Linked DNA regions of Elephas maximus indicus. The main gene of each other region encodes a partner of the protein of the gene in region 2 in a complex. Links are inferred from orthologs where the notes say so. Each region holds a gene or a part of one and is shown on either strand. Other genes may lie near its edges. The genes, in order: NR0B2 and NR5A2.

Region 1 (3,702 bases), on a different chromosome or scaffold from region 2:
GAACCACTCTCGTTCATTAACTGCAGGAATGGGGAAAGTGAATTATTCTACTATAGCAGTTCCAGAGGCCTTGTCTGTTTCAACTTGGGAATGGGCTGCTTCATTTGCCTGATTGGCTATGATCAGACTCTTAGTGAGGGGAGTGGGAACCTGTAGGGGGTAAGGACCAGAGAAGGAGTCAGTGGGGGTTTGGGGATGGGGGAGAAGCCCCTGCTCCAAGGATAAAACCAAGGAGGTACGGGGGTTTTGAACTAATCCTGTCCCCTGAGTTCAGACCCAGATGCAAAATAAATCTTCCCAGAAAATGAAATCATCAAGCCATCCTGAAAAATTAATACCTCAATTCCCCAAGGCCCAGCTCCTGTACCTGTTATGGCTCCTTCCCCCCGGACTCCCTCTGAAAGGGGCAGGATGGACCCTGGAGGTGAGATGGTCCCTTCCACACGCACAAACTACAGTATCAGACTCTGAGGGTGTCATACCTTTTATTACAAAAACCAATAACTTAAGTGAGTTCTGTACAAGGCAGTAGACTTTTGGCCCAACGAGCAGCCTAAGTGTCCATTCTCATCCCAGACAGGAGAGTAGTCTTGGGCCAGAGGCCCTGGGGACCACCAAGGGCTAGCCAGACAGCTGGAGCACTGTGTCCAAACCAAAGAAGCCAAGGCAGGGTGGAGCTGAGTGAAGGTCCCATAGCCCATCTGGCTAGACTAGGCGTGGCTTGCTGTCTATATAGGCTTGCCCCCTTCAGAAGCACTGGGTGACTCCTGGGGTCAGCCAGGCTGAGTCAGTGCTGCTAACCTCTGCCCAGCCTACACCTGATCTCTGCCTGGGCCGGAGCAAGTCAGCTCAGCAAAAGCATGTCCTCTAGAAGGCCAGCCATGTCGACGTCTCCAATGACAGGGCGAAAAAAGAGGTCCCCAAGCAGGCCAGGTGGGATGGACTTGAGGGTGGAGGCCATGAGGAGGATCCGGGCCAATCGGCCTTGGCCTATTGGCCACCAGGCCTCCAGGACCTCACACAGCGCCTGGTGAGCCTCCTGCTGTAGGTACCCAATGTGGGAGGGGGCGAGGAGGCCTGGCACATCTGTGGGCAGACAGGGTGAAAAGGACTGGTGAGCACCCCACTCCCAGCCATCAAAGGGCAAGGCTGCCAGCAGACACCTCTCTGCCTCCTTTGCTCAGCCTTTGAGGCCCAGTCATGACCTCCTCCTATTCGTTGCTCACTTTATTCATCCATCTATGTATAGAGGGGCAGTATAAAGTAATGGTTAAGAGCTGCTTGGGTTTGAATCCCAGTGCTGTCAATTATAAGCTATGTGACCTTAAGCAAGTTACCTCATCTCTGTGCCTCAGTTTTCCCTATCTGTAAAATGGAAGTAATAGTACCTAGTTCATAGGCTTATTTTGAGGTTTAAATGAGCTAGTGTATGTAAAACCCCTAGAATAGGGCCTAACATACAGTAAGTATAATATGAGCATTCACTACTATTATTATAATGAATTACTGTAAGTAAGCATTCTGTGAGGCCCTTTGGTGGGGAACTCTCATCTCAGATGCTCTCCAGATTAAAAGAGCCCTATCTCCAACTTTTTGCTTGTATCTCCAACTGGTGCTGTCCTGGTGAGTGTCACTAAGACTCCCTCCCTCTCCCGAACACGCCCTTTGTTCCTCCCTTCTATGTGGTTTTTCTGAACCCACGGAGTTCTACCTTCAGAGAAGCTTACTACACGGTCTGCCCCTGGAGATGGGATCGAAACACAGCTGCATCTGCCCGTTCTCACCCCATTCCTGCCTTCCCTAAGGGTAGGGAAACATTTTGGGTACAGAGTAACAAGGGCCAGTCTCTGGAGCGAATAGACCTGAGTTCCTGATCCCTGTCTTGCCCCTACCTGGCTGCATGACCTTCAACAAGTCACCTAGCCTCTGTGGGCCTCTTCACTGAGATGAGTATTTAATGATAATATGGACCCAATGAGATAAAGGATGTCAAGCCCTTAGAAGGTGCCTTCCCTGGATGAGCCTTATCCACCTCCCCCTACCCCAAGCCTTGACCCATCCCTCCAAGAGTGTCCGGAGGCTCACCAGGGTTGAAGAGGATGGTCTTTTTCAGGTAGGCATACTCTTTGGGGCCCAGCTCCAGGCTCCAGAAGGACTCCAGGCAGCACTGAAGCCACTGTACTGCAGCCAGGGAGGGCTGGGGCCTGTCAGGAAGCTGACTGCTGCTGCCACTGCTACCAGGCTCCTCCAGCAGGATCTTCTTGAGTATGCTGGCCACTGGGACCTCGGCCACCTCGAAGGTCACAGTGTCTTGGGCCAGCCCAAGCAGGAAGAGTGGACCCCAGCAGTCCCGCAGCAGCCGCCGCTGATCCTGGGGGGGCAGCTGGCAGAAGGATGGCAGGTTCTTAAGGAAGGCCACCGTCTTGCCCAGAACATCCAAGGCCTCTTGGCAGGTACGGTGGGGAGTACACAGGCGGACAGGCTTGTGCTGCTGGCACAGGCAGCGGCTATGAGTTGGGGGGACGAAGGGCCTGGCCCTGAGGCTAGGGCTCAGGAGTGCATGCAGGATGGCTGGGCGGCCGGCAGCACCCTGGCATGGGCAGGCCGCTGGCTGGCTGGAGCTCATGGTTGGGATCTGTTTCTCCTTCTTCCTAGCTCTCCCGCCCTCTGCTCTGAGCTGTGGGTGCTATTTATATCCCCGAGGGCGGGAGGGGGGAATGCCCAGACAACCTTGACTCCTGGAGTCATGTTCATTGAAAAACACACACACACACACACACACACACACACACACACACACACACACACACACACACACTGACCCTGGCAGGACTGACAGGGAAGTGGCAGGGGAGGGGCACAGTGGGTGCTCCATGTGGCACTGATATCACTTCTGTCAATGAAAGGGCCGGTGCAGGGCACAAGGCCGCCTGCCAGCTGACCCCACTGCCCCTTATCAGGCGACTCAAGCGGATAAACAGGGTCATTAACCCAGGCTGTACCAGGGCACCAAGGCCTCAGGTGCGCAATCAGCAGGTGACCATGGCAGGTGTCCCTACTGGTGCCCTGCTCTTGTGTGCACGCAAGACCAGGGCTCTCACTAAGCCAGGCAGCCAGCCCAGAGCTGCGCAAGCCTTGAACGCAAGCCCAACCTGGAAATGCCTTATCGCTGGCTTGTTTGTCTAACCTTGGGGCCCTGAGCCTGTTGTTGGTAAGTAACAGGCAGTGGGGGAGGGAGCCAGGACCCTGGGAGGCTGGAGGACTGTGCCCACTATCTAGAGGCCCCTTCCCTGACTCCAGCTCTGGGGGCCTGTCATGGATTGAATTGTGTCCCCCAAAAAATTTGTGTCAACTTGGTCAGGCCATGATTCCCAGTATTGTGTGGTTGTCCTCCATTTTGTGGTTGTAATTTGATGTTAAGAGGATTAGGGCAGAATTGTAACACCACCCTTACTCAGGTCACCTCCCTGATCCACTGTAAAGGGAGTTTCCCTGGGGCGTGGCCTACACTACCTTTTATCTCTCTCTTTTTTAATTTTTATTGTGCTTTTTTTTTTTTTTTTTAAGTGAAAGCTTACAAATCAAGTCAGTCTCTCAGACAAAAATTTATATACACCTTACTATATACTCCTAATTGCTCTCCCCCTAATGAGACAGCACACTCTTCCCTTCACTCTCTATTTTTGTGTCCATTTGGCCAGC
Region 2 (3,904 bases):
TTTCCTGTAACGTTTGACTATTGCCTAGAGGCGTGTTTTAGGGATGGAAAATAAGTGGGCTTTACCAAGGGTGTTCTTTTCTACTTCTCCTGACCCCCAACAAAATGAACTCTGACTTCGCACCTAAGCGGCCTAGAGAGGCAACTGCTAACAGAGGGGCTCAACGCACACCCCGGCGATCCGGCATTAGAAAGGTCGGGGCTAGGGATGGGAACCCTCTTGGAAAATCCAAAAACAGAGGCCGAGAGGGGAAACATGCCTCTGTGCGAGGCAGGGATATCTTTCAGGGTTTCCAAGTGCCCTCGTGTAGCCAAGTTAGGCATTTGGAGAACTAAATCCGTCGAGGCAAAGAAGTACCCGCGCTTTCCCTAGTCTTGGTCTTGAGAGAAGAGAAGAGGCGGCGGGGCATTGGAAAACGAGAACCGCAGAGCGGCGCGCAGAGAAGTTCCCCTTAAGTAGGACGCTGCGCGCTGTCGCGGGACCCAGTATCCAGCTCTCTTTCTAGGATGCGCGCCCACCGGTAGGACCACGGACGCGTCCCCAGGCCACAGTCAGGCTCTGAGGGTTAGGAATGGGGTCCCACTCCCCGGGGCCTCCTCCCTACGGGGAGGCCGCTAGTCCAGGAGGAAGGTGTGTCCAAGCTCTCCATGCGCTGTGTTGGAACCCGGGGCTGAGAGCGGCCGGCGACTCCTCCGCCCTGGTCACTGGGAAAAGCTAAGGCTCTGCTCTGAGGCGCAGGTCGGGTCAAGAGCGCCCGTTTTGAACTTCACAAAGAAAATGTTACGATTGTATCCTCCCTACCCCCTCAAATAAACTTATTTCTGCCTCCCCTACTTCTTGCTCTAGTGTCTCCCTGAGCTGCTTTTCCAGAGTCCGCGCCGGAACGAGAAGCAGAAAATTTCCGTTCCGACCGCACCCAGCCACCCAAAGGATTAGACCCTCTCCAGGGCGCGTGGCGGAGGGACCCCGGCCCGGCTTCCTCGCGCCACTTCCCCGCGCTCCCACCTTGCGGACCAAGATTTCAAGCAGGAAAGCCTCTTTGGGCCAACCGGCTTCCCCCAGGAGCCTGCCGGGAGACACAGAAGTTAGTTTCCTGGGCTCAGCCCACGGAGACTTCCACGACTCTCTACGGTGTTTAGAGAGACCCGGGGATCACGACGCGCCCCCTCCCATCATTCCCTTTGCCAGGGCGACGTCAGGCCCCCAGGCCCAAGCGCCCGAAACGCGCCGCCTACCCGGCACCGCCGCGTGCACCAGCCCTGAACTCTGCTCTCAACACCTCCCGGCCCTTTCAAGTTCGCGCAAGGGGATGGCAGGAAGCGTTCCGGGATCACAGGCCCGCCTGCCCGCACATCCTGCGTGCTGGAAGGGGCGAGGATGGAAGAGCGCCGGTGACTTTTCCTAGCATTGTTCCCTCCCTGGCCCAGGGCAACTGCGATAAACTTTTGAAGGGCTTAATACAAGCCAGACAGGAGTTCCTATTTGGATTGGAGTGAAAATGCAGCCAGAGGGATTTATTTGTTTTCTTGTTAGCAATCAAGAGCTGCAAAGCAAATGGGATTTCCATATCTCAGCTCTTGGATTGAAGAAGGGGCATTAAGCTAACCGTTGCGCCCCACCTCCAAGTCAGTGGGCAATCCCCGTGAAGGGGACTTTGGTTCCTTTCAGCTCTGCCTGTAATTTTAAAGTTGCCCCAATTCGCACCGGTGTCCACTCGGGCTTTTTGGGAGTGGCCAGGTCCATTCTAAAACAAGCCTCCTGGGGGTCCCCTTCCCTTCTCTTTCTTTAGTTGACTGTCCTAGGCAGGGTGCTCTCCCTCCGCACAAAAGCATTGGTTAAAGTTTCCACCGATTCCAAGGACCGAGAACCTGACATTCCATTTCTTAGCATGATCTCATTATTCCAAAGTACCTTTAGCCTGAAGCTGCCCATCTCCGGTTGCCAGAGTTCGAAGCCTCTCTTTTTCTTGATTATTAGAAGCGGCTAATTAGGCATTGCTTGGAAAACCTCCGCTCCGCATTGTTCAAAAGCCATGAACTTTTATGCCCGCATCTGGGGAGGGGGCCTGACGTCTGCGCGCCGCCCAGCAGTCCACCGAGCACCCAGATGGGCCATGCGCCTGGAGGGAGGTTGAAGCCCACAAGGCGAGCCCGGGGGAGGGGAAGCGCCGGGAGCCGGAGCGCTGCGTGGAGCCTCCTTACCTTGCATGTTTTCCGGCATCTGTCCCTGTTCCCCATGCGATCGAGCCAGTCCCAGGGCTTCCGTCTCCACTTTGGGCAGCATGACAAGGCGGCCGCGGGCGGGAATAGGGGGTCCGTGTCCGTCCGGAAGCCCAGCACCTGGACACGGGCAGCAGAGATTCAACTCCGGCGGAAAGAAGGAAGGGGGCGACCGGGGCGCCCGCTCACCTACCCGCTTGCCGTGCGCTCCTCCGCCTCCTCCCAGGCTGTCCGTCAGGACCACAGGCCCGGTCCTGTCTTGCAGCTCCGGAACTGCCCCCGAGCCGCAAGGAGGAGATCGGGGCTCCGAGACCAGGTGAAGAAGACGGCGTGTGGGTGCCCTGGCTCGGCTCTGCAAGTGCGGAGGCGGTGGTGGCCGCAGCGAGGGCGCAGCTGCCCGGGGCGCGGACCCGTGTGCGGCTGAGCTCCCGGCGGGCAGCGGAGGCAGCCGCGGGGCTGCTGCTACCGCTGCGGCCGGTGCCGCTGCCGCAGCTCCCGGACAGCTCGGGCGACTCCTTCCCCTCCCTCCACCCGCCCTCTGGCTCAGGATCAGCAGGGGTCTCTCTCTCTCTTCCTCTCTCTTCACTTCTCCTCTCTCTCCTCTCCTGGCCTCTCCGCCCCTTCCCCCTGTCCCTTTCTGTCTTCCTCTCGCTCGCTATGGCAAGTGTGGAGTTGTGAAGTTCCAGCCTCCCTCTCCTGCCGCGTTTACTCTTCTTGCGCCGTCCGAGAGCAGCCCTTTCCAGCCCCTGATGGTGATGGTGCTGGGAAGGAAAGGGGGAAGACGAGCAGGAGAAGGGAGGTAAGTAGGGCCGGGGGCAGGGGGAGGCTGCAGTGGGGGGTGGGCGAGATGTGGGGTGAAAACACTGAACTGGGACGTGGGTTCTGGACTCCGGTCGGACACCAGCCGCCAGCCAATGAGGATGAGGCGCATGCTCGGGTCCCCTCTCCTGCCCCAACCTCTTCACCCGCCTTAACCCCCTCCCACCACGCCGTGGTCTGGGGGCGGGGGGTGTAAATGCTGCTGGGGCGTACAGCTAGTGAGAAGCGACCTCTGTCTGATTGCGGCGGCGAAGGCTGAGCAGCTAGGGCGGTGATTTCCGCGAGCTGAGGGGAAGCGAGGAGAAGTGACGGGGCGTGTGTGGGTGTCCCCGTGTGTGTGTCGGTGAGGGGCTGGAGAGGGAAATAAACGCCCATTTAAACAACAGAAAGGAGGAAATGGATTTTGAATTTTTGTGGACCGCTCTTCTCAAACGCAGAGCTGATCCTCTGTCAAGGGTCCCCGGGCTTCATTGCCCCTCTGCTTTCAGTCGTCGGAGAGGCCCCGCGGCGGGACCTGGTAGTCCTGGAGGGACCGACCGCCCAGGCCGCCCGAGGGGACAACCCTGTCTTAAGGCCCTGAGTCAAGAGTTCATCATTTGACAGAGATAACTACCTGTTTCCTCACTCCCCCAGTTTTCTCTCACGTATAAACTTACAAACTGGAGCCCAAGATTATTGTGGTATCAGACGTCCCAGGTTTAGTGAACTGTGCTCTGTATAGGATACAGTCTCTTTGGTGGGGATCCACGTGAGGCCCAGAGGCCCAGCATTAAAAAAAAAAAAAAAAAAAGTTTTAAAGACCATCTGTTATGCAAACTCTTCGGCCACCAGCCCAGCCACATCTTCAGAGTTTTCAGATCTCATCC

Evidence for each region.
Region 1: the proteins of NR5A2 (region 2) and NR0B2 are in contact, whole or in part, in a crystal structure (PDB 1YUC), measured with the Homo sapiens proteins. The link is inferred for Elephas maximus indicus from reciprocal best matches to the Homo sapiens genes NR5A2 and NR0B2. Residues at the interface, in NP_995582.1 of Homo sapiens: Phe354, Val357, Arg361, Phe366, Val371, Asp372, Gln374, Met375, Leu378, Gln379, Asn529, Asn530, Leu531, Glu534, Met535; in NP_068804.1 of Homo sapiens: Arg17, Pro18, Ala19, Ile20, Leu21, Tyr22, Leu24, Leu25, Ser26, Ser27, Ser28.

What each region holds. Positions count from the first base shown.
Region 1 is NC_064821.1:67,348,275-67,351,976, forward strand, and holds NR0B2 (nuclear receptor subfamily 0 group B member 2), read right to left. Parts: upstream 2,654-3,702; 5' UTR 2,627-2,653; coding exon 2,086-2,626; intron 1,087-2,085; coding exon 845-1,086; 3' UTR 537-844; downstream 1-536. UniProt on the Homo sapiens protein: Transcriptional regulator that acts as a negative regulator of receptor-dependent signaling pathways. Specifically inhibits transactivation of the nuclear receptor with which it interacts.
Region 2 is NC_064836.1:8,247,284-8,251,187, reverse strand, and holds the start of NR5A2 (nuclear receptor subfamily 5 group A member 2), read right to left. Parts: upstream 2,659-3,904; 5' UTR 2,453-2,658; coding exon of another isoform or gene 2,284-2,452; coding exon 2,202-2,283; intron 2,192-2,201; exon of another isoform or gene 1,912-2,191; intron 1,905-1,911; exon of another isoform or gene 1-1,904. Other genes in the region: zinc finger CCCH domain-containing protein 18-like, read left to right, coding at 2,282-2,452, 2,659-3,018. UniProt on the Homo sapiens protein: Orphan nuclear receptor that binds DNA as a monomer to the 5'-TCAAGGCCA-3' sequence and controls expression of target genes: regulates key biological processes, such as early embryonic development, cholesterol and bile acid synthesis pathways, as well as liver and pancreas morphogenesis.